Danio rerio: one gene and its partners. The protein of the gene in region 1 interacts with the protein of each later gene in a pairwise test. Links are inferred from orthologs where the notes say so. Each region holds a gene or a part of one and is shown in the gene's direction. Other genes may lie near its edges.

Evidence for each region.
Region 2: the proteins of rabac1 (region 1) and pbx3b interact in a two-hybrid assay, tested with the Homo sapiens proteins (2 studies listed by BioGRID). The two-hybrid records come from large-scale screens. The link is inferred for Danio rerio from reciprocal best matches to the Homo sapiens genes RABAC1 and PBX3.
Region 3: the proteins of rabac1 (region 1) and nudt18 interact in binary tests that used the Homo sapiens proteins (3 or more experiments, as listed by UniProt). The two-hybrid records come from large-scale screens. The link is inferred for Danio rerio from reciprocal best matches to the Homo sapiens genes RABAC1 and NUDT18.
Region 4: the proteins of rabac1 (region 1) and ric8a interact in binary tests that used the Homo sapiens proteins (3 or more experiments, as listed by UniProt). The link is inferred for Danio rerio from reciprocal best matches to the Homo sapiens genes RABAC1 and RIC8A.
Region 5: the proteins of rabac1 (region 1) and ntaq1 interact in binary tests that used the Homo sapiens proteins (3 or more experiments, as listed by UniProt). The two-hybrid records come from large-scale screens. The link is inferred for Danio rerio from reciprocal best matches to the Homo sapiens genes RABAC1 and NTAQ1.
Region 6: the proteins of rabac1 (region 1) and ndrg4 interact in binary tests that used the Homo sapiens proteins (3 or more experiments, as listed by UniProt). The two-hybrid records come from large-scale screens. The link is inferred for Danio rerio from reciprocal best matches to the Homo sapiens genes RABAC1 and NDRG4.

The regions. Positions count from the first base shown.
Region 1 is NC_133191.1:11,086,695-11,090,812, reverse strand, and holds the start of rabac1 (prenylated Rab acceptor protein 1), read left to right. Parts: upstream 1-1,318; 5' UTR 1,319-1,346; intron 1,347-3,801; 5' UTR 3,802-3,811; coding exon 3,812-3,882; intron 3,883-4,118. UniProt on the Homo sapiens protein: General Rab protein regulator required for vesicle formation from the Golgi complex. May control vesicle docking and fusion by mediating the action of Rab GTPases to the SNARE complexes.
Region 2 is NC_133183.1:36,175,571-36,179,734, reverse strand, and holds the start of pbx3b (pre-B-cell leukemia transcription factor 3b), read left to right. Parts: upstream 1-1,364; 5' UTR 1,365-1,868; coding exon 1,869-2,065; exon of another isoform or gene 2,066-2,069; intron 2,070-2,680; coding exon 2,681-2,754; intron 2,755-2,791; exon of another isoform or gene 2,792-4,164. UniProt on the Homo sapiens protein: Transcriptional activator that binds the sequence 5'-ATCAATCAA-3'.
Region 3 is NC_133183.1:55,665,518-55,669,572, forward strand, and holds the start of nudt18 (8-oxo-dGDP phosphatase NUDT18), read left to right. Parts: upstream 1-1,255; 5' UTR 1,256-1,307; intron 1,308-3,656; 5' UTR 3,657-3,666; coding exon 3,667-3,819; intron 3,820-4,055. UniProt on the Homo sapiens protein: Mediates the hydrolysis of oxidized nucleoside diphosphate derivatives. Hydrolyzes 8-oxo-7,8-dihydroguanine (8-oxo-Gua)-containing deoxyribo- and ribonucleoside diphosphates to the monophosphates. Hydrolyzes 8-oxo-dGDP and 8-oxo-GDP with the same efficiencies.
Region 4 is NC_133200.1:11,275,140-11,279,315, forward strand, and holds the start of ric8a (chaperone Ric-8A), read left to right. Parts: upstream 1-1,376; 5' UTR 1,377-1,476; coding exon 1,477-1,566; intron 1,567-4,176.
Region 5 is NC_133194.1:37,454,635-37,458,716, forward strand, and holds ntaq1 (protein N-terminal glutamine amidohydrolase), read left to right. Parts: upstream 1-1,282; coding exon 1,283-1,362; intron 1,363-1,442; coding exon 1,443-1,542; intron 1,543-2,715; coding exon 2,716-2,766; intron 2,767-2,846; coding exon 2,847-2,995; intron 2,996-3,420; coding exon 3,421-3,545; intron 3,546-3,631; coding exon 3,632-3,735; 3' UTR 3,736-3,751; downstream 3,752-4,082. UniProt on the Homo sapiens protein: Mediates the side-chain deamidation of N-terminal glutamine residues to glutamate, an important step in N-end rule pathway of protein degradation.
Region 6 is NC_133200.1:14,289,094-14,293,130, reverse strand, and holds the start of ndrg4 (protein NDRG4), read left to right. Parts: upstream 1-1,237; 5' UTR 1,238-1,338; coding exon 1,339-1,359; intron 1,360-4,008; coding exon 4,009-4,037. UniProt on the Homo sapiens protein: Contributes to the maintenance of intracerebral BDNF levels within the normal range, which is necessary for the preservation of spatial learning and the resistance to neuronal cell death caused by ischemic stress.

The DNA.
Region 1 (4,118 bases):
TGACTTCTAGTTGATCATTTGGAAAAGTGGCAGAAGGTAAATTTTTTGATTAATCATGTTGAACTGCATCACACATACTGCTGACCTATTGGAACCCTCATGGACCCAAGATTCTCACAGAAATCAGTCAAGTTTGGTGAAGGAAAAAATATGATTTGTGTTTACATTTATTCAACATCAACAGCCTGAGATATCAAGACATTTGCTGCCCTTTTCATTACATATCACAGGAGAGGGCAAATTCTTCAGCCGGATCACGCTCCTTCTCATACTTCAGCCTCCACATCAAAGTTCCTGCAAGCAAAGGTCAAAGTGCTCCAGTATTGGCCAGCCCAATCACCAGACATAAAAGTTATTGAGCATGTCTGGGGTAAGATGGAGGCGAAGGCATTGAAGATGAATTCAAAGAATCTTGATGAACTCTGGGAGTCCTGCAGGAACACTGTTTTTGCCATTCCAGATGACTTTATTAATAAGTGATTTGAGTCATTGCAGAGATGTGTGGATGCAGCCCTCCAAGCTCATGGGAGTCATACACAATATTAATTATTTTTCCATTGCACCATGACTTTATATTCTATACTGTACATTATTTCTGTTAAGTCTTTTGTTTTAGCAAAGTCAGGCCTTACTATCCTCATTAAATAATAAAAAATCAAGGCATAATCATATTTTATTTTGGTAAAAGAAGCGTACACTAGAGGCCTTTGCCTTTCAGCCACTGATACCAAATCATCAACTAAGTCAAGTTATTTGTTGTTCCTAAAACTTGGATAGGCCACAAGGTTTTTGGCAGTGTGTACTGGAAAAGAACAGAAATCCAATTCCTGAAATTAATAGCATTTAGCTAGAAAAAAAGTATTTATTGACATCACATATTTATAATGCTGCAAATGAATGTCAACTATACAATGTTCATTACTAGGTATGTCTGTTCTTGAATATTAAAATATATTATATATTATCAAGGGCTGATTTAGTGATTTTGGGGCCATAAACAATTCCAGCCAAGGGGCCCAAAAGTTCTAGAATGCATCTTTTGTACTTGAATTTTTAAAAATTATTTTCATATTTTTTTAGTTTTGCTGTTTTTTTCTTATATCATTAAACCTCATTTTCTATATTTTATCTTAATGCAAAATAATAGTTATAACATGTAAAGGACATTGTATCCATTTAAAAAAAATTTAGGTGCATGCCCTGTATGCTGATCCGTGTCACTAGGAGGCAGTCGCAAGTTTGACTCGTGTTAACTTATGTCAACAGAAGAAGATCGTCACCGCTGTTTGCGAACCACATCATATCCGCTGCACATCAACACAGTCAACACATCTACACAAAGTGCTGTGAGTATGATTGTTACTTTAAGGTTTACTCCCCTTTTAAAGCACAATTCTAGAAATATTTCGTCTCACTGTCTGTCGATTTCTCTATGTTACTAACGTTACCGATTGATCTCAAAGTTAAGGGGTATCGATATATATTTTGAGAAAGAGCGCTTGCTGCTGTCTGTAACGGATTTGATAAACAAACTTTATGGATTATGTTTTGTGACATACCAAAAAAAGAAAACGTTGTTTATTGTCTGACTGTAATAATTTATTTTTTGAGGCACATCTGACGTAATGTAGCAGCTTAACAAACTTGCTCTACCGGATTGTTTCTCTTCTTGAACGCAGAGTTTCAGTTGCAGCCCATGAGTGACATCATTTTTCCAGTAACGTCATTGAACACGTTCATAACTTACCATAACATAGAAAGCGAGCTTCATAGATTAAGTGAAGACATACAGAGGAAGTTTAGAAAGTTGCTTTCTGTGAAGGAGATCAAATTCATTGTTTTCCTATCAAGTGTAAAAGTCTTAGTATCCCTTGACTAAAGTTATGTGCATGTTCTTGTACTTATAACGTTAGAGGTAAAGTTGGTTTTATATTCGCACATTTAGAAGTCCCTATATTGTTTACCATGTTACTTTGAATATTCGATCGGAATTAGCCTGCAAGTATGACTTCTAAATAACATTAATTCTATCTAATTGATTGTGAACAATGTTGTACTTTGATAATCATTTGGTGCTTATATGATTTTCCTATTCGGAATTTGCAAAGAATACTTTTCTGAAATTATATTGTTAAGGAGAATGTCTGAATATCCGAATATAACTTTTCCTTTATCTTATACTTCACTTTGAAGAACCTTTCATCTATAGTTTGCTATTCATTAATCCAGCCTTTTGAAAGGGTTTTTTCTTAATAGGTAGATCTTTTTGCTGTTGTTCGCCTCATTTTCTGTTTAGTTATGAGATTTCAATGCTGAATTTAGATGAAATTTTAAGCACTTTTTACCTGACTTTATTGAATCAATTATCTTGTTGGATGGTCATCATAACCACACTTTTTGATGTACCAAAACATTTCCTAAATATTTATAATAAAGAAATAAATATGGCAAATATGTGTTTTTAAAACAGAAATATATTGCATCATTTATCATGCATCAACGTTTTAAATTAGAAACTGTAGCCTAGTGTAATTTATTAAGCAAATAACTGACTGGCCAGCACATTCAACTTTCCTCAGTCAGAATGTGGCCATTTAAATAATAATAAAAAACTAAAACATAATAATAATAATAATAACAACAACAACAGTTAAGAGCTTCACAGTTTTTCTAGCCTCTTGTATAAGTACTTTACACTTTATTGGTTATTTTTTGTTTCAAGAAAAGTGATTGATAATAAAAGTTACTTGTCAAATCTTTTCCCAATTTGAAAACAATAAAGTAGTGAAAGATGACTTTGCTTATGTCAGGTGTTTTCTTGCACAGCTGGATGTTGGACTCTTGAAAAATAATTGTTTGTATTGGCCAAAACTGATTAACTGAAGTCACACCAGGATTACGCTTGGTCTTAATGCCTTTTTCGATGGGTTATTTTCACTATTTATGATGGCATAGCAGTCAAAAAAGAACAAATGAGCTCATGTATTGGACAAATTCTGGACCTTTGTCAGTGTGGGTGGGTGGGTCTTCCGAAAACCCCTGGCTACGGGCCTGGTGAGTGTTTTTTTTAAGTGGATAAAAGGATTAGTTCACACAAAAATAAAACTTCTGTTATTAATTACTCACCTTCACGTCCTTTTAATTCCTGCATGAAATCTAAGTTTCCTCATCATCCTTTTATGGTCCAGACACATTTATAGTCCAGAAAAGGAACTAAACACATTGTCAAAACATTCCATGTGACTTCAGTGGGTCAACTATAATCATATGAAGCTCCAAGAACACTTTTGTGTGTCAAAAACGTATCAGATCAGGACATGCGTTTATTATGAACTCTGATTACCTGAAGCGGAAGAGAGGACAAATAGTGGTACTTAATCACATAATTTAAATTTTTGGGTGAACTAACCTTTTGAAGTTTTATATGAAAGGCCATGGTCCTTTGTTATTCATACAATGCAAGTCAACAGTTACCTGCACTTATAGAGTCAAACATAAATATACAGGCAAAACATATTTAACTTCTGTGACACCTGAAAACACATTGAGGTCTAATAAAGGGAAACTATAGGTCTGTGCAAAAAGCTGAGCAATATTAACAGTAACTTATTATTGCATCTTACCCAATGATCCCACTTTCTTCTTTTGACAACCACAATGTCCTTTACATCTCAATCAACCCACATAGTATAAATGTACCAGTGGCTCTCAACTCTGTTGGAAATTAAATCAACATATGAATATATTTAAATCAAAATAGTAATACATTCTTGTTGATTAAGATATGTGTTTTATTATTAGACACGTCGAGATGGATGCAAAAGTAAGTGACCCCTTTAGCAGCGAGGCAGAGCAGCTTCCAGGAGCAGGAATTGTGGGAAGGTGAGTCTGTCACCAGAAATACTACAATCTGTAAAAGCCCAAAACTCCAGAAATTGTTTATTGTTTAACTCTTATTGAGAGTCACATTAGATAAAAGACACTGCTAAATGATTAATTTCTTTAAAAAAATTATTTTAATTGTAACTTTCTTTGTTGTTGTTTATATATATATATATATATATATATATATATATATATATATATATATATATATATATTTATATGTATGTAAGTAT
Region 2 (4,164 bases), on another chromosome or scaffold:
TAAAAGTAGTCTCTAATTCCCCCATGGCACTTCGTTTGAATACAGTTCTTCTACATGCGCTATTATTTACGACGGACCAAGAACAACACATACTGATGCTTTTGGTGACTGGTGTACTGAACAAAAGACGCGTGTTTTGGGCTATACCTTGAACAACAGTGGTTGGAGTGTGGATGGAATACGGTGTTTTTGTGGCTGTAGCCGGCTGCCTGTGTGTGTGAGAGAGAGAGAGGAGCGCGGCGGACGGAGGAAGAAGCGCACAAATGTTTCGCTGTGTGTTTTTGCTTCGAGCTCACCGAACAGTCTGCTGCCATAGCAACTGGCGAGGAGCGCTGCGCAGCGCCGCCTGCTTGTGCAGTAATGTCACCCTTGGCAACGTCCAATCAGAAGTTGAGATCTCTCTGTACAACCGTAGCAAAGGTATTGAGCTCCGAAGGCGGGCGTTCTCGATCAGCGCGAGTCGCTCATTGGTCACTCCGGCTGCCCGTCAAACGCCGTCTCTTAAGCGATTGGTTCGAGGCGTCTATTTCCAATATTATAAACATGTCCTCTGCTTTCCTGCCCCTGCAAGCACGGCTTGTGGAGGCGACCATACTATGGTGTAAGGAAGCGAGGGGGCCCGTGCAATTCATTATTAGTTTGAATCAGACAATATAAAACTCTGACCTTTTGTTTGTTTTATAATGTAACGGCATCTCAAATGCACGGGCGCGCTTTTAAATGAGGCACGCGTAAAGCGGAGACTTAAACGCTGCTGATTTGATGCTCTGCTCTCATCATTATCATCACCAGCAGTATCATTAGTAGCTAACTGGCATTTTGTTTTCGGGGGCTTCGGCGAGAAGTGACAAGAATCTAAGACCCCTCCTCTGCAGGGCGGAGCGTGCATTTTGATGTCGATTTTGTATCTTTTTTTCTTCTCTGACACGTCCGCACTGAGTGAATGGCATTGGCACATTGTCAATCGCTCACTACCGCTGCCATCAAACAACATAAAGCACACACAGCCCGCGCGCTCGACTCATAAATTTCCGCCAGCAGATATTTTTGCGCATCGCTTTATGGCGCGTGATTAATTTTTTTCGCTAGTTTTTCTATTTTACCTACTGAAAGTGAGAAAACTTTTTTATACGTTTTTGTATATATTTTTTTCTCTACAATCTTTATAGCTCTGGTCGCCGGTGCTGATGGTTTAATTTATTTCACTCGGGTTCTTTTATTTTCTTATGCAGTTTTTTTATTTTTGGAGGAAAAAAAAGAAATCTTTTTAAAAGACAACATTCTGCCAGTTGTCCACACTCAACCTGCGTCTTTTTAATTACACAATCATTAATTTTGATTAATTATCACTTTCCGTCAGAGGCATGGGATGTTTTGTTTGCAACTCTTTGTAATACTACGGATTTGTCCAAGTTTTCCAGAAGTGCACAAGGCGAAATTATCCTAAGAAGACAGCAAATAAGAATTCCAGACATCTGCAAAGGACCCCGGCTCTTCAAAGAGAAAAAAGACAAATTGGCATGAAGATTCGGACAGGATTGAACGGGCAACCGCTGTCACCTGAACGCTGAAGTTTACTTCAATAACAAACAAGAAAGATCATCGCTAATTTTCCTCTAATGGACATTCTTACAGGAGGATCAAAGACGATTTAAATCTTTTCCCGGGACATCAATTCCGCGATCCAGCGATTTATTGTATTTTTCTTCTCTTCTGCGTTGCTTCACGGTCAATATTTTGTGCACGATAGCGACCCGTTAAACGCCGCACATGAAATAATCAAGTTGTTTTTGCATGTGCATTATCCGAGTTTATTTCACCCATCTCAGTGACTGAGCACGAGCGCATTGATTGTGTTGCGGCGGACTATGGACGAGCAAGCCCGGATCATGCAGACTCTCGGCGGTGTCAGCCTGGCTGGTCACTCGGTACAAGGCGGCATGGCTCTGCCGCCTCCACATGGACACGACGGAACCGATGGGGATGGAAGAAAACAAGACATCGGTGACATTCTGCATCAGATCATGACCATCACCGACCAAAGCCTGGACGAGGCGCAAGCAAAGTTGGTGCATTTCTGTAATATAAACGCTTGCATTGTTTTCTTAACAAAGTATTCCATGCTTGCTCATTTGATTCTTTACAATAGCTCATGTTGCTTTCATTTACTTTTTTTTTCACACTAGCTAACTTTTAATTTTCACCCACTGGGTCACTATAGTAAACCTAAAAGGTCAAGTTTGCATCTGAAATCCATTTGACAGGTTGAAATCACGTTTCAGTGTCACAAGATCTATCCTAAATCAGAACATTAGCTGCTAAAGTTGTGCATTTTAATGTAAATGATACACAGGTGAAGTGCTCAACACATGTGAGCATCTCATTAAAAGTTTCTACATCTCACTTTTCTGTTTCTGAGCCGAAGAGGCCCTGATACTTTTACAGCCACTAGCCACATACTATAAATCTTTTACTTCTTTGTAAATTAATTTACATATTTAGCACTAATTAATTATACTCTTTGTTGTGAACTTTGTCTGTGTTTATTTCTAACAAACCAATGCAGTTTAAAGATACATTCCAACAGAAGACTTGATGCCTTATGAAGTTTTAATGCGACACAATTATGAGTTTTAAGTGACTATATATCAATCTCGTCTCTTGCTCCCAAATGGCACAGGAAACATGGGCTCAACTGTCACAGAATGAAGCCAGCCCTCTTCAGTGTGCTCTGCGAGATCAAAGAGAAAACAGGTAAGATAATGCATACCCTTACAAATGAAGCTAAATTAGACATGTCAAGAAGAAAAAAGCAACAGAACAGTGTCACTAATCCTTCAGACACCGCCATCTTTATTGGTGTTTTTTTTTTATTTGGTCGTCAGCGGAGTCCAGTTGTATCAAGCCACATCCAGCATCCACATTTCTCTGCTTCTCACTTGTGAAAATGAATAGTCATAATTGGATTTATCATTGCAAAATATACAACGATGATCCTTCCCCCCCTTCTGCGTTGCATCACAAGGCTGAACCGAGTGCCTTCTTCTGGGGCATGAATGAGAGAGAGGCACCCCGGCAGTTCCCTTGTTTACAGCGCGCTATTCTCACACCATTCATTTAATCAAGCAAGACCCACACTTGGGGAATTGCTCGACAATTATGCATCTTCGGGATATTCTGCATCTGCCACTGAGGATATGCTTTGTGCGGTGTTGGTTTAATATTAAGCTTGTTTTGTTTAACTGCACGCCCTGAGAGCGTTTGCGCGTGTTCGTGGTTCGGAGAGAGAGCGGTCCAATTCCTGCGCTCCTCTGGCTAATTATGCGACCAATTTACTGGATAATTATTGGCAGTATCGGCGGTCCTGCAGTTAATTATTGCCCCCATTTTATTCCGAAAGACGCCAGCGCTGTGAAGGTTACATCGTTCACCGACACGTGCAAAGATGCTTGGCTTTATTGTGTCATTGTTGATTTTTTTCCTTTTCTTTTGTGTGCTAAAACGCACTTGTTATGATCAGGAGGGATCGATAAGTTATTTATTATTAGTTTGATGCAACCAAAGTTGTAAAAATATTTAGATGACAAATTTTGGCTGGGAATGCCCTCATTGTTATACAAGAATTCTGGTTATCTTGTAATAAAACTAATATTAAATTTTAGACATGGTTATATTTATGTTTAGATTTTTTTCATTATTTATTAAGGAGCCTGGAAAGTGTAAATAACTGGAAGTTGCCACTTCTTTGGCACTTAACAATATTGTTATTTAATTATTAACATCTAATAATATTTTTGTACTGTGGCCTATGACCTATCTGACCACTGACCTAGATCTTGAAGTGTAAAAATAGTTTTAATATTTAAATTTCAACATTTGAATTCAGCAATGCATTGAGTGGCAACTGACTGACTCCATTCAAGGACCTTATATTAAGAATTGTATCTTGGCAGAAGTACAGGCGCACATTATTCTGCATAATGTTTACTTTCTTGTGCATTGCTCCTTCTTGTTGGATTAGAATTATTTTATTTCAGTTGATATACGCATGTCTGTATCAAACACAAAATATTTCACTCTTTCTGACACTCGAGCACCTCTGAAACAGTCTGTCGAGCGCGCACTGTAGATGAAGTCCAATGACAGATACAACATCAATTCAGC
Region 3 (4,055 bases), on another chromosome or scaffold:
GTTTTTCTGCCTACCTCTTGGACTTTTATTACTATTATTATTCATTAATTTTCTTTTCGCCTTAGTCCCTTTAAAAATCCAGGGCGGAATGAACCGCCAACTTATCCAGAAAAAAACTCAACCTCTTGTAAACTCAAAAATAGAAAAGTAGTTCATGTTAACGTGTAAATGAGCTAAATGTGTTAATAAAGCTCTATTGAAACTAACTTAAACCCCAAATGTGACCCTGGTGCAAGTATCATTTTGGCAAAAGCCAAAAATGCATGTAGGTCAAAAGAATTGAATTTTCTCTTATGCCAAAATCATTGTATTGAGTAAGGACCATTAGGATATTTTCTAAATATTACATTGTAAACAAAATTTGCATCGCTAAACACTAGAAAACTTTAAAGGCGAGTTTCTCTATATTTTTTATTTTATTGTAAGCTTGGTAAGCTTAGTTGGTAATAGAAAGTGTAGTTATTCCGATTTAATTCATTCATTAATTTGATTTCAGCAGTCCTTTATTCACCAGGGGTTACCACAGCGGAATGAACCCTCAACCTATTCAGTATATGTTTTACACAGCATATGCCCTTCCAGCCACAACCCAGTACTGGTAAACACCCATACACTCTTACACATACACTATATATATCTATATATATATATATATATATATATATATATATATATATATATATATATATATATATATATATATATATATATATATATATATACTATACTATACGGTGCATGTCTTTGGACTGTGGGGGAAACCCGAGCACCCTAAGGAAACCCTCACTCAGGGAGAACATGCATCTCCAAACAGAAATGCCAACTGACCAAGTCGGGATATCATTAATGTGATGTATAAATCTTAATTACCAAAACCTGCCTTTAATAGTTTCTTGTTTTATAGTACAGGGTAACAAATATGGGACGTTTGTCATGAAAGTAGACGTAGTCGAGTGTAAAGATCGCTAGAGTTGTGTATTGGGACATGGCCATTGTAGCTTGTAGGTAAGGGATAGTCTAAAAATTGGCAGCTACATTTATCTAGTCCTCAAACGAAATTAAACTACAGCTTGTTCTCTTTGTAAAAGCTATTATTTAATTATAGGTAACTAACATTAATCTATTATTTGTCATCAAGGAAGCAAATACATTAAAAAACTAAAATAATAAAGCGAGACTGCAAAAAAAAAAAAAAAAAAAGGGAATTTGACATGACCCCTAGATGAGTGTTCTCGCGAAAGAGGTGTTATCGCGAGACAAGAAGGAGATGTTTTGAGTCTACATGCGTCTGTTTTATGACAACCTGGGTTAGTAAACATTGATGTTTTAATTTAATGTTGTTGTATTAAGTAGTTATTCGTAATAATGCTTTGTCATCTCAGACTATGTAACCTTACGTCATATTTATTTTGCTTTAGGTCATTTTGCGTACAAACACAATGTTACTTTAATGTCGTGTAATAATCAAATGTAGGGGGGGGCATTGTGCTGTACGTTACACTCATAAATAGATTAAATAATTAGATACGTCTTCTGTGGAACTTTGTCATGACATTGCCATGGTTTAATTGTAGTAAATATAATAACAATTATTTCTTGTTGCATAACCCACCATTTTTTTATTTAACTACCACAATGTTACTACAAATGTTGTGGTTAATCTATAGCATTGCATTGATTTGTTTTTACAAGGATTTAACTACAGACACACACACTCACCGGCCACTTTATTAGGTACACCTTACTAGTTGGCTACCAGGTTGGATGCCCTTGTGAACTGCTATAATCCTTCGTGGCATAGATTTATATTAGAAATATTCCTCCGAGATTTTGCTCCATATTGACATGATAGCATCATGCAGTTGCTGCAGATTTGTCAGCTGCACATCCATGATGTGAATCTCCTGTGCCACCACATCCCAAAGGTGCTCTAGTGGATTGAGATCTAATGACTGTGGAGGCCATTTGAGTACAGTGAACATATTGTCATGTTCAAGAGACCAGTCTGAGGTGATTCACGCTTTATGGCATGGTGCGTTATCCTGCCATAAGTATAGTATAGAACTCCATGCCTTCATGTTGTTGAAGCAAAATTCTGACCCTACCATCAGAATAACGCAGCAGAAATCAAGACTCATCAGACCAGGCAACATTTTTCCAATCTTCTATTGTCCCATTTTGGTGAGCCTGTGCGAATTGTAGCCTCAGTTTCCTGTTCTCAGCTGACTGGAGTGGCACCTGGTGTGGTCTTCTGCTGCTGTAGCCCATTCGCCTCAAGGTTGGACGTGTTGTGCGTTCAGAGATGCTTTTCTGCATACCTCTGTTGTAACGAGTGGTTATTTGAGTTACTTTTCAAAACTGAGCTGGTCGGGTTTGGCGATCCTATCCCTCTGCATTTATCAGGTTTTGGTGAGCTTTCCACTTATCAAAAACCTGTTGTTAGAAACCTAGGATTTCAATTCGACAATGATCTGAAATTTAACAAGCAATTAAATACAATTGTTAAATCCAGTTTTTTCCATTTACGACTTGTGGCAAAAGTAAAGTCGTTTCTTTTAATTTTTAATGACCTTGAGGAGGTGATCCATGCTTTTATTTTGGGAAGACTTGACTATTGCAATTCCCTGTATGTGGGTATTAGTCAAAATGCCCTAAATAGATTGCAATTAGTACAAAATGCGGCTGCGAGACTTCTGACAGGGACTCGCAAGTTTGCACACATATCCCCAGTTCTTTCCTTTCTGGGCTGGCTGCCTGTTAGGTCACGGATTGATCTGGCACCATCTTACTTATTAGACCTGCTACATGTATACAATCCTGGTAGGTAACTGAGGTCTTCTGATGAATTTATTCTATCTATACCAAGGTCCCGGTGTAAGCGGAGTGGGGATCGGGCTTTTGCTGTTGTCGCCCCAAAACTCTGGAACGGGCTTCCTTCCCACATCAGACATGCTCCAACTCTACCTGTTTTTAAAAAGCATTTGAAACGCCATCTTTGTTCTCTAGTATTTGAGCCTTTTTAATGTTGAGGGGTTTGCCTTATGTTTTAATTGCTATGTGTGTGATGTAGATTTTATTTTTAGTATTGATTGTGTTCAGCACTTTGGGCAACGTTGTGTTGTACAAAATGTGCTATATAAATAAATAAACTAAATAAATAAATAAACTAAACTGTTGCCTTTCTATCAGCTGGAACAAGTCTGGCCATTCTCCTCTGACTGCTGATGTAAACAAGGCATTTGCGTCCCAGAACTGCCGCTCACTGGACTTTTTCTCTTTTTCGGACCATTCTTTGTAAACTCTAGAGATGGTTGTGTGTGAAAATCCCAGTAAATCAGCAGTTTCTGAAATACTCAGACCAGCCCGTCTGGCATAAACAACCATGCCACATTCAAAGTCACTTAAATCAGCTTTCTTCCTCATTCTGATGCTCGGTTTGAGCTGCAGCAGATCGTCTTGACCATGTCTACATGCCTAAGTGCAGTGAGTTGCTGCCATGTGATCGGCTGATTAGAAATTTGCATTAACCAGCAGTTTTGACAGGTGTACTTAATAAAGTGGCCGGCTAGTGTATTTTTACTGTAATAAAACTGACTCTTCTTGGCAGCCTCTTTATTTGACGATGATATTAATTCCATTCTGTTGTCAAATTAAAGCAGCTCCGCCATGGACTCGCAGTCATCGATTCTGGAGGAGAACTTGGAGAAGATTTTGAGGGGTGAGGGTCTCGAGTTTGATTCAGTCGCTGAACAAGTGGACCCAGTCACACTGAGGAAGAACGTGTGTTATATTGTCGGCGCAGTCATTTTCAATTCAAAGGTAAAGATGGTGTTGTTGTTCTTGCATGTGAGTGTTGTCTATTTACTGGAACAAGACTGTTTGGTAGCAAGGAATGAAACTGAAGGCAGCACAGTCAATGTGGCTTAATTTACAGTATGCCAGTGTTCAAGAATTATTCTCAGTACTTTATTTACATACTGGTCATGTGACCATGATCTAAATATTGAAAGATATTTCAAACCAAGTTAGGTTTGAAAATAGATTAATAATGAACA
Region 4 (4,176 bases), on another chromosome or scaffold:
TTGATAATCATTTTAAACCATATTATATTTTCAGGTATTATTAAATGTTTTTATTTTTTATTTATTTTTTTCATTAATTATCTTGTTGAACCTAGAATTAATTTATGTATTTATTTGGGAAAAATATATAAAAAGTTGCTATTTATTTGTGTACATTATGAATCATTAAACCAACTCACTATGGTTTTACTTCACAGTTATAGTACAGTTAAACCACGACAACCACAAATTCATGGTTTTCCTGGATCAGACATAGTTTTACCATGGTGTTTGTAGTAATAATAACATAGTTATACAAATTATATTCAATGGGCCCAAACAAAATAACATGGTTGCTACACTTTTACTATACGGTTAATGTTTGTCTACTTCCCTACGTTGTGCACTATTACTCTGTTCTAAACTTTTTTTTGCAAATCTTTATAAACGTACTGTTTAGCCTTTATTGTTAATTATTTTATTATCATTTATGTTAAAGACTGAAAGCAAATAGAAATCCAAGAAATAATTGCATGAATAAATAGGCTATAGAGATAAATAAATGCATTAATAAATAAATATAAAAAAGCACATAAATAAACATAAAATTTAAATAAATACATAAATAAATCTAAAATATAAATAAACACATATATAATATGTTTGCAAATAAAGTTTAAATATAAATGAAAAATGCATGCATAAAATAATAAATAAAAGGAAGTTAAATTAAATTAATAAATTTACTATTAAATTCGATTTTAAACAACAAATATCTGTTTTATTAAGTCATTTATTACTTTTTTCTATATTTTTCCTATTGTTTCTTCATTCATTTTCTTTTCGGCTTGGTCCCTTTATTAATCAGGGGTCGCCACAGTGGAATGAACCGCCAACTTACGTATCTATTTAGCTTAACCAATTCACCTATACTACATCTTTGGACTTGTTGGGGAAACCGGAGCACCCGGAGGAAACCTACGCCAACACGGGGAGAACATGCAAACTCCTCACAGAAATGCCAGCTGACCCAGTCGAGGATTGAACCAGTGATATTCTTGCTGTAAGGTGATCATGCTACCCACTGATGCCCCATATTGTTTTATATCTTTATAAAAACACCTATTTATTTTATTTTAGGTTCTCCGTATATTTGCGGAATAATCTGAACTTTTTGGACTACATTTCTCATCATTTTCCTCATCCGTAACACTTAGTCGACCCTCCTGCATCATAATTGGCTGACGCGTCTCCTTCTTGCAGCCTATGATTGGCTCGATAAAACGCCGATCATACACCCACGCCAATCACAACCACGAATATTTGCTCAGAAGGCGGGACTTCCCATCTTAAAGCCTTCACTACAAATCCCACGATTCCCTCAATAATCGCATCATCCAGGAGCTTCTGGATCGCCCAGATAAAGCCAGAGGATTGAAGCTGACTGTGTTTACGTGATTTTTTGGCTCTTCCTGACAGCAGAAGGGCGGAACAGCGATGAAAATGGACTTAAATGCCATCATAGAGAAAATGGAAACGGGCGACCAGGACGCCGCACTGACAGCTTTACAGACATATAATAAAGAGGTACAGTTATGAACATTACGACTGTTTTAATATCATCAATGTCAGTGTTTTGCTCAAAAGGAGAGTATTTCTAGTTTAATACTATCAATGTTTTATTGTAAATATTTACATAGAGTTGCTTAATACAAGAATATGTCTTCCGTTTTATTAATATTTCATGTGAAACACCGTCATAACGGATCAGAATTATAAATGATGTCACAAATGAAATATATCACAACAACTCCTCTAGTAAACACATTTTGTCTAGGTAATATCAACAATAAACCACGAATATATAGCAGAATGGAATATAAATTACCATATTTATGTGGGATTTAAAAGAAAAGGGTCATGTTGTGGTATTATTTAGTTATATGTTGACAGAAAGCTATTACATAATGCTCTTAAAAATGCCTTACACATATAGTATATATATATATATATATATAATTGTCGTATTACTTATGATAGCAATAATATATTAATATAATAATAACAATAATATACACGTTTCACATGATTATCCTCTTTTAATCATGTCCATATCTCAAATAAACTGCTGTCATGTGGGCCTTTATTGATAACAATTATTAGATTTATACCAATCAAATGTCATCAAAAGTCTTTCAAACTAGGCATGGGCTGGTTTATGCTTGTGAAGGTTTGATAATCTTGGATAAAAACATCACTGTTACATGGTATTGTGATTACTGCTCTAAAATAAGTTCTTTATTATTAATTTTGGAACATGTCAGGCTTAATCATTGAAATAGGTCATTGACTTATGCTAGGTTTGTTAGTTTACAAAACACAGATTTCTTTACTCATTAAAACATACATAAAACATTTTTAAAAAGCCTTTTTGTGGATTTATTTCAGTTATTTAGCCTGACATGTTTACTGTTCCAAAACATAACATTATATATTAATATGTGTGTAATAAATGTGGTCATCTTACATTAGCACTTGCATAAATCTTACATTTATCATCTACCTCCACACATGTACTGTATGTTTGAAATAGGTATGGGACGATAACTGGTTTTATGGTTTACAGACATTTCATTTTCAGGTTCATACACATTTTTACTGCAAAAATTCCATAACTTTTCCAGCACTTTCAAGTCAATTTTCATGACTTAATGTTTCATGTAATTTCTACATATATGTGGTAAATCATAACAAACATCTAAATTTATTACAGCATATCATAAAACATGAAATAGTTTCAATTTATTTTTATATCCATTTATAATAGATGATGCTACACAGCACTAATCATGTGAGAGCATGTTTTTAGCCATGTCTTAGTAAAAACAACACATTTTCACCCACTGAACACAATATACAGTATTTAGTTTTACAATTTTTCAATTTACAATTCATATTTATAAAATCTTGGAACATTTCAGGCTAAATAATTAAAATAACTCATTGACTTTTTTTTAGGTTCGTTAGTTCACAAACACAGATTTCTTTACGACACATAAAAACACATTTTGAAAATGTGTGTGTGTTTTTGTAGATTTATTTGAATGATTTAGCCTGACATGTTTACTGTTGCAAAGTTTTATAAATTTTAATTTTAAATAAAAAATTTGTCAAATAAATACTGTACAGGGCTCAACAATAAGGATGGCCCAGGGCCAGCGTAAGAGACGCTCGGGACAGTAGACAGAATGATCAGTTTGGCAAATCTATTTAATTTGCAAAAAAATAAATAAATACCTGCACATTTTCCATGCTGCGATATTTTACTGCTAAATATTTTTTTTAAAAAATTTAATATTTAAATTCTAGATTCACAGACGTTATTTTTGACACATTATGTAAAATATGTGGCTAAGAAATAGCAAATAACTCCTTATTTTATTTATTTATTTTTTTGGGTGGGACCAGTGAAAATTTGGGCAAGGCAAGAAAAAATCTGAACCACTGATCCAATCGGGCCAGTAGAAAAAATCTTTAGCGTTAAACGCTGCTGTATACTGTGTTCAATGAGGAAAGTGTGTTGTTTTTCATCCACACATTTGAAAAAGAACTTATTTTAGAGCAGTAATCACAAAACCACGAAACCCTGATATTTTTATCCAAGGTTATCATACCTTCACAAACATATGCCGCCTCATGCCTAGTTTGAAGTTATGTCATTTCTTTGGTATGCAATCTAAAATATCGTTATTAATAATTTCCAAACCATGGTAAACCTTAAAACCGGTTATCGTCCCATGCCTATTTCAAACATGCATGTGTGAAGATAAATGAGACAGTGCTAATGTAAGAAGACCAAATTTATTACACACATGTATAGGCCTTTTTAAACTAATGATCCACTTAGTAAATGGGTTAGTGTGTACACTTCAGAAAACATGTTAACTATAAAAGTCATATGAGTTGAAGATCTTTGCGTGACGTGGGTTGGATTAGGACTCAAGCTACCTAAATAGATTGCCTAGGCTGACCCTGATGCTGTGTGAGCCTGTATCACAGATCATCATGCGGTTTAAGTGCTCTGATCATGCTTTAGGAAAGAACCGATGCATCAGGGAGAGATACTAATTAAGAATTGATGACTTATATATGATGTATTTGTTTTAATTGATTCCAAAGTCAGATCTACTTTCATTG
Region 5 (4,082 bases), on another chromosome or scaffold:
AGCATTACAGTCAAATAGAAAGAAAGATCATTTTATTAAAAAGTAACAAAAATAAAGTGCAATTTCAACTATTTTATTCGTGGTTTTTCCAGTTCACCAGCTCTCAAATCAGTGGGTCCACAAGTGCTAATGAGATCATTAGTAAAAGACATTCCTAAAAACGAGGTGTTAATGGTGGGCTTTTTCTGATGGCTACACCTCAAAACATAGGTGGCCCTATACATCTTGTTAAAAGAATATGGTTAATATTTGTTGGTTTAGCTTACTTTATAACATCATAAGTATTTGAATGTTATCAAATTTCATTTTAAACAAACACGTTAGCAAATAGTGGATTCTTAAACGGTAAAAGTGTAAAGAGCTGTTTATTTGTGGCTCAGAAATGGGGATTTAGCCTATGAAAACAATAAAAAGTGTAATAAAACAGTTGTACAAGTAAATAAATACATCTCTCAGAATGTGATATATTTAATCCAAAAAAATATTTACCTTATTTTACAAAAGACATCTTGTACGCATATATATTTAGAACATTTTGTGGCTTTTTATGACCAAAGCAAGTGTGAACCAAGACAACTTTTGACAAGACTACATAGTTATTCATTTAGACTATGTGCTAACCTCCTTAATATTAACTCATACTGTGGTTTTGGTAGACAATTTGAATGGACTGATAGTTTGAAACATATTGTCAGGACTCTATAATGAGTGAACATGTATAGAGAAATGAAAGGGTTTGAGATAAACATGCATTAGAAACAGAAACACATTTTCAGTTTAAAACAAAATATAGTTCACAAAAAAAATTTATAGATATCCACAAACATTTATACAAGTATGTGGCAAAAAACGAATTAACGTGCAACAAAATACAATCAGATACTCTGAAATTAGAAACCAATACATTGGCTAATTGTATTGAGTTGAGAACGATGCCTAACTGCACGTTATCTTTCGCTAACGTGTTTTCTACTTATGCTTTATGAAAGTTAGACTGTTTAATATTTATGCTGATAATCGTGCAAGTGCTACATTTGCAATTCACATAAGGAGTGAATGTTCGCGCATCACCTGTCTCGCCGGAACGACAAATCCCCTGAAGTTCCTTACGGACAAGATACATTGTAACAAGCAACAGTGCGGTTGCAACGCGAATCGCTTCATTGTAATATTAATGTAAATATCTATGGTATCATTATACACATGTATTCTTTTGTCATGTCGTTATAACTGGAAGTCCGCGTAAACCTACTGTATATACACGTATATAAGGAAGGAAAGAATGAATGAAGAAAGCGCTTCGTCTGAATATAAAGTGATCACCCCGTCCGGAAACCAATGTGTTTACACCAGCTGTTACTGGTAAATGCGATAATACCTGTAACATTATTTCAAATTTAAAACGTACCGTATTCATACACGTATTTAAATGTTTGTTGCAGTGAGGAGAATGTGTGGAAATTGTGTGAATATATCAAGAATCAGAGACATTGTCCTTTGGAAGAGGTGTATGCAGTATTTATATCTAATGAAAGAAAGAAGGTGAGCTTCATCTCCACACAAGTATTTTACATTTAATGAAATGTACAGTTTTCTGTTATATACATACATACACACACACACACACACACACACACACACACATACATATATATATATATATATATATATATATGTATATATATATATATATATATATATATATATACATATATACACACACACACACACACACACACACGTATACAGTCACCGGTCACTTTATTAGGTACAGCTTTCCAACTGCTGCTCAACGCAAAAATAAGCCAATCACATGGCAGCAACTCAATGCATTTAGGCATGTAGACATGGTCAAGACGATCAGCTGCAGTTCAAACCAAGCATAAGAATGGGAAAGAAAGGTGATTCCAGTAACTTTGAACCTCGAACCTTGAGGAGATGGGCTACAGCAGCAGAAGACCACATGGGTGCCACTCTTGTCAGCAAAGACCAGGAAACTGAGGCTACATTTCACACTGGCTCACCAAAATTGAACAATAGAAGATTGGAAAAGCGTTGTCTGGTCTGATAAGTCTCAATTTCTGCTGCAACATTCGGATGGTAGGGTAAGAATTTAGCGTCAGCAACATGAAAGCATGAATCCATCCTGCCTTGTATCAACGGTTCAGGTGGTGGTAGTGTAATGGCATGGGGGGTATTTTCTTGGCACACATTGGGCCCATTAGTACCAATTAAGCATTGTGTCAACGCCACAGCCTACCTGAGTATTGTTGCTGGCCATGTCCATGCCTTTATGACCAGTGTACCCATCTTCTGATGGCTACTTCCAGCAGGATAACGCACCATGTCATAAAACGCAAATCATCTCAGACTGGTTTGTAAAACATGACATGAAGTTCTGTAATCAAATGACTTCCACAGTCACCGGCTCTCAATTCAGTAGAGCACCTTTGGGATGTGGTGGAATGAGAGAATCGCATCACGGATGTGCAGCCAACAAATCCACAGCAACTGTGTAATGCTATCATGTGAATATGAACCAAAATCTCTTGAGGAATATTTCCAGTACCTTGTTGAATCTATGCCACAAAGGATTAAGGCAGTTCTAAAGACAAAAGAGGGTCCAACCCGGTACTAGTAAGGTGTGCCAAACAAAAGGGGCCAATGAGTGTATATATAGTATGTATGTGTGTTAAAAATTGTGTAATATTTCAGATACCTATTTGGAAACAAAAGTCCAGTCGAGGGGATGAACCAGTAATTTGGGTAGGAACTTTATATGTATAAAAACTATGCATATTTTATGGTAGTCTCTAATTGATATAAAAATGTTGTTTTCCATTTAGGATTACCATGTTATTCTTCTACACGCAAGTAAACAAGGACCGAGCTTCATTTACGATTTAGACACCATTCTTCCATTTCCTTGTTCGCTTGACGTTTATTCAATGGAGGCCTTTCAGTCTGACAAGCATTTGAAACCTGCTTACTGGAGGCAAGTATTATCTGGTCTAATCTGCATTCTACAAAAGATGAAATAACATAAGTGTAACAAGTACTTAATAAATTTATAAAAGAAAAGCACATCATAAAATGTGAGGACAAAATTGAATGAAGATTTTAATATGAATTAGTATTTTGAGGCTGCATTGTTATCCATTTAGTATGGCCTCACATTATTCTTGTTTTAAATATAACTTAGTATTTTAAACTACTGTTACACTTAACTACATTTTAGAGGTCATCTTATGTAAATTGTGGTGATGGACAATAGTCAATTAATTTACTTTTGCATTAAATAATATTATTTTTATATATATATTTTTTAACAAATGCTTAAACTCCTTTATGTCTTTGACCCTTATAATAATAATAGCCAGTCTTAGTTGAATGTAATCAAAGTGTTGTTTGCTCTTTTAGGAAACTTCGAGTCATACCCGGGGACACTTATTTGAAGGAGTTTGCTTCTGATCGGTCTCATATGAAGGACTCCGATGGGAATTGGCGTATGCCACCTCCAGCATATCCATGTTTAGAGACACCAGGTTTGTTTTCTATTGCAGATTTATATACAGTAAATACTATAATTTGATTTCTTCTTCCACTTTCATGTATAACGTGTCCTTTTCAGAATCCAAAATGAATCTTGATGACTTCATCTGCATGGATCCCCGAGTGGGATATGGAGAGGTTTACAGCCTTTCAGACTTTGTTAAACACTTTGGAGTAAAGTAATGCTTTTTTTCCAGCACATTTTTTGTTGTTGTTGTTGAAAAATGTACATAAACAGAGCCTCAGGGAAAGATCCTATTATGATGGAGAATGCTGCAACTAAGCAGGCCTCAAAAGACACATTTATTGACTCTGAAATTATTTTTACTAATTGAACAGTTGGCAATGTGGCTTAATTATAGTCAGGTAGAAAGGTCACAGAAAAGAAAGCCATTGTTGTCATTTGTCGAGGATGTGTATTATTTTTATAAAGAAATCAGTTACACAGATGTACAGATAATAAAAATGCAGAATTTAAACAAACAACCAAACCGAAATGCGAAACTGTGTAAGCAGTTGTAGTGCTGTAG
Region 6 (4,037 bases), on another chromosome or scaffold:
CAGGTGTGTGTGTGCAGTGCATGACTGGGTCTTGTAGTCCATATAATGGCGGATTTAGATTTCTAAGTGGTCTGCATGGGCTAGATCGCTGGTGCTTGTAACAGTAAGTCATTAATATAATTCATTTTTAAAAATTTAAGCCAGCCATGTAATTATTTACAGTTTGGTACTGAATAAAACATTACTTAGGCAAAATTCAAGTTAACGTTAGTTAATGAAAATACAGTTGTTCATTGTGAATTCATGTTAACTCACGGTGCATTAACTAATGTTAACAAGCACGAGTTTGGATGTTAATAATGCATTAGTAAATGTTCAATTATGATTAATAAATGCTGTACAAGTGTTGTTCATGATTAGTTCATGTTATTAAATGCATTAACTAATGAACCTTATTGTAAAGTGTTACCTTATTCAGAAACAATACCAAACCCAAAAAAGTGATAATGAGCTCTAAATAAAAACCTGTTCATGTGCATACTATGTAACAAGTATGGCGCGTTCTATTTTGACAACAACAGTGCAAAAGCATTTACACCTGTGCATGACACTTGCAATAGAGAAGGGAAGAGTTTGTGCGTTTAAGTGAGACTGCAAAAGCAAAGTCAGGCACACGAGGATTAATCTTTCACATCCACAAAGAAAAGCCAGCACATCCAGTTGTAATAGACAAAACTGTGCGGATTTCAAATTCAGAGGCTGTATAATATAGAATATAGCTCATGTAAACACATCCATGCCTCAAAAGTGGGCCACGAGCCTCGAGTGCTTTATCACGTGCTCCTGTGGAAGCGCACACACACAAACACTGTCACAAAGCAAGCCACATTGACAGTAATGCTTAAGGCTTTTTATGAAATCGGAGTTCTTGTCTAGTTTGGTGTGTGTATTGTGTCTTTTTTTATTTAAATGATGAATTACTATATAGAAAAGCATATCATTTTGGAATATAGCGCTCTATTGATGTATTAAATTGCATCAAGAAGTCATATTAAAGGCTGTTTTGTGCATGTGGAGGATGAAAATAGCAAATATGGGGCAAATCCAGATGAAAAACAACAGAGTTAGATTGACACCAAGCTGAGCCACTCACATGCTGGCATTTTGTGCAGTCATCCAATCAGAATGCATGGGGTGGGATGTGAAATGTGTCGGGGGAGGGGACAAGTAGTGCTGCAAAACTGCCCTGACAGGACGAGGAGAGACAAAGAGACGCCGTAGCAACCGCAGCATCTCTTTGCTTTCCTGCATCCGATTGCAATTGTCCAGAGAGGACCTTGTCGTCTCCTTTTCTTCCCTACACTTCTTTAAGCAAGCGTACACAATCTCTAAGCTACCATGCCGGAGTGCTGGGATGGGGTGAGTGGGATATCTATGATTTTAGGATGTAAACACAGGATTCTATTTATTTATTTATTTGTTAATACTAATACATGTGCTATCATGTCATTCTTTATTGTTTAGCCAAATGAATGTATATTTAATTGATTAGCCTTATGCATGCTTGAAATAATTAGCTTGACCTACTGAACTGGTATTGTGCACCAGTTCCATCATTACAGATCTATGCATGTTTATACTTGCCTGATGGCTACTTATTATCATTTATTTCAATTTATCAATCCTAATGGTTATTTAGTAATTATATTGAAATAAAAATAATCATTTAAAATAAAATCTTATTTATTTATTATTTAATAAAAAGCTAAATGTGTACATTTGTATCATAAATGTATAATATAAAACATATATATATATATATATATATATATATATATATATATATATATATATATATATATATATATATATATAATTTTTTATATTTAATATAATATAATATAATATGATATAAGATAATATAATAGATATATTCATAAAATAAAATATCAAATAAAAAGCTCCATCTGGTGAAAGCGTGATGCTGATATTGTGTGTTGTGCAGAAATGTCCAGTCATGTATGAGGTGGCCATTTGCACTAACACACTAACACACTGCCACGTGTGGGACGTGCGCACTGATGTACCTCTGCAGTGACCTGGAGTGTGTGTGTTTAGAAATGTGTGTTTGTGCATTGTGAAACTGACACCAAATCTGCGATCTAATCATAAAAATCCTCATCCAAGGACGATTGTGTGACCTTGAGCTTAAAGAAAACGAGCAGCTAAAAAAGAGCAGTACTTCAACTCACGACGCACTGCTTTACTATTGTTTTGTGCATAATATTGTCATATCTAGGTCAGATTTTGTGTTTATCTCGTCAGTGTTTGTTCCATATTGTCTGTCTAGAAAACATGCTTGACATTTTGCAAAACACAGTGACAGCTGCTATGAGATTTAATTTTGACCCGAACACAGAGTTACACAAACAGCTGTCCTTAACTCGCACAAATACACTTGCATCCGGTCTGAGCTTCCACTATTTTTTTATTTTTTATTTTCCACTAACATCAAAACCACACACTGACAGGGGCTTAAAGCCCACAGGAGATTTATTTCCCTGTCTCTCTGTGGATCTGCATTAAGCTCGGGGCTGCCTGCGAGGTGTCTGCGTGGATTTGTGCATAACATTGGAAAGCTAGAGATTCTGAAATAATCCTTATAGGACAAGAAAAAAACACACATCCATCGCTTCTCCACTTGGAGTAAAGTCTGACGGTGAATGTGGGTCAGTTCAGATTAAAATGCCTTTGGAAATGGCAATTAAAAGTGTGTTAAATGACTATGAACAGGAATCGGAGACGCTTAATAAGATATTAATTAGTTGTGTTTTTTTTTTACTCTCGATTAAATACATTTTTTATTGCCCATTAAAAATTTGGCAGCCCTTTTAGTAACTACAATATAAATCAATGTTTTAGTTTGTGTCAAAACATACAGGCTGAAATGAGAATTTCTGGCAGACTGCCTCCTTTTATTTAGTTTGTGTTAAGATACAACTGTTAAGCTGAATTTGTTGCATCTAAACAAGCTAAAACTTGATTTTTAAGTTAGCCCAATATACAATATTTTACTGAGTATAGATTGCCTTTTGAAATTAGAACATGATTGGAACAAATTTTGATTTTATAGTTTGTGTTTGGATACAAAAAATAAAGCATGACTTATTAGATTTCACCACATTTTAGCCTGTATGAAGTGGTAAATTGGGTCAGTCTTCTCACAATGTCAATACGTAGCTAAATATGCCAGATTTTGCCACAATATGGACCACTTGATGACACTGGGATGATATTGGTCCAGTTCACAAGTTTTAGCTACAGAATTTTCAACAACAACAACAACAACAAAAAACCTTTTAAACCCATTTTCAGTCAGTAATTTGCATCTAAATTAGGGTCATATTTAAGCTAAAACTGGAAAATTGGGTCAATCTCGTTTCAATGTCAATATGTACCTCAATATACTAGATTTTGCCAAATATTAGCCACTGGGATGAGATTGGTCCAGTTTAAGTTTTACCTACAAAATTTTCACCAAAAAAAATATTTTAAATTCATTTCAAGTCAGTATGTTGCATCTAAATTACTGTTGTATTTAAGTTACAACTGGAAAATTGGGTCAGTTTCGTCCCAATGTCAAAAAATTAGCTCAATATGCCAGATTCTTCCACAATATTGGCCACTTGATGACACTGGGATGAGATTGGTCTAGTTAATAAGTTTTACCTACAAAATTCCAACTAAAAAAAACATTTTAAACCTATTTTTAACCAAGTATGTTGTATCTAAATTAGGGTATTTAAGCTACAACTTAGATTTGTGTTAGGACAATATGAAATAATTGTGTGGAGCCCTGCAAACAAGCAAGCCAGCCCAGATGAAAAAAAGTAATGGGAAAGTAACTTAATGCATTACTTTCCTCAAAAAGTACCTAAGTACTGAATTTAGTTACTTGAAAAAAATGTAATCCAATGTTACTTTTAAAAGTAACTTCCCACAACATTTTAGATCCATCCTGACAGTTTCTCAGGCTCTTTGCTGAAATTGTTGTTTTTGTGTGTTCAGGAACATGACATTGAAACCCCTTATGGGAT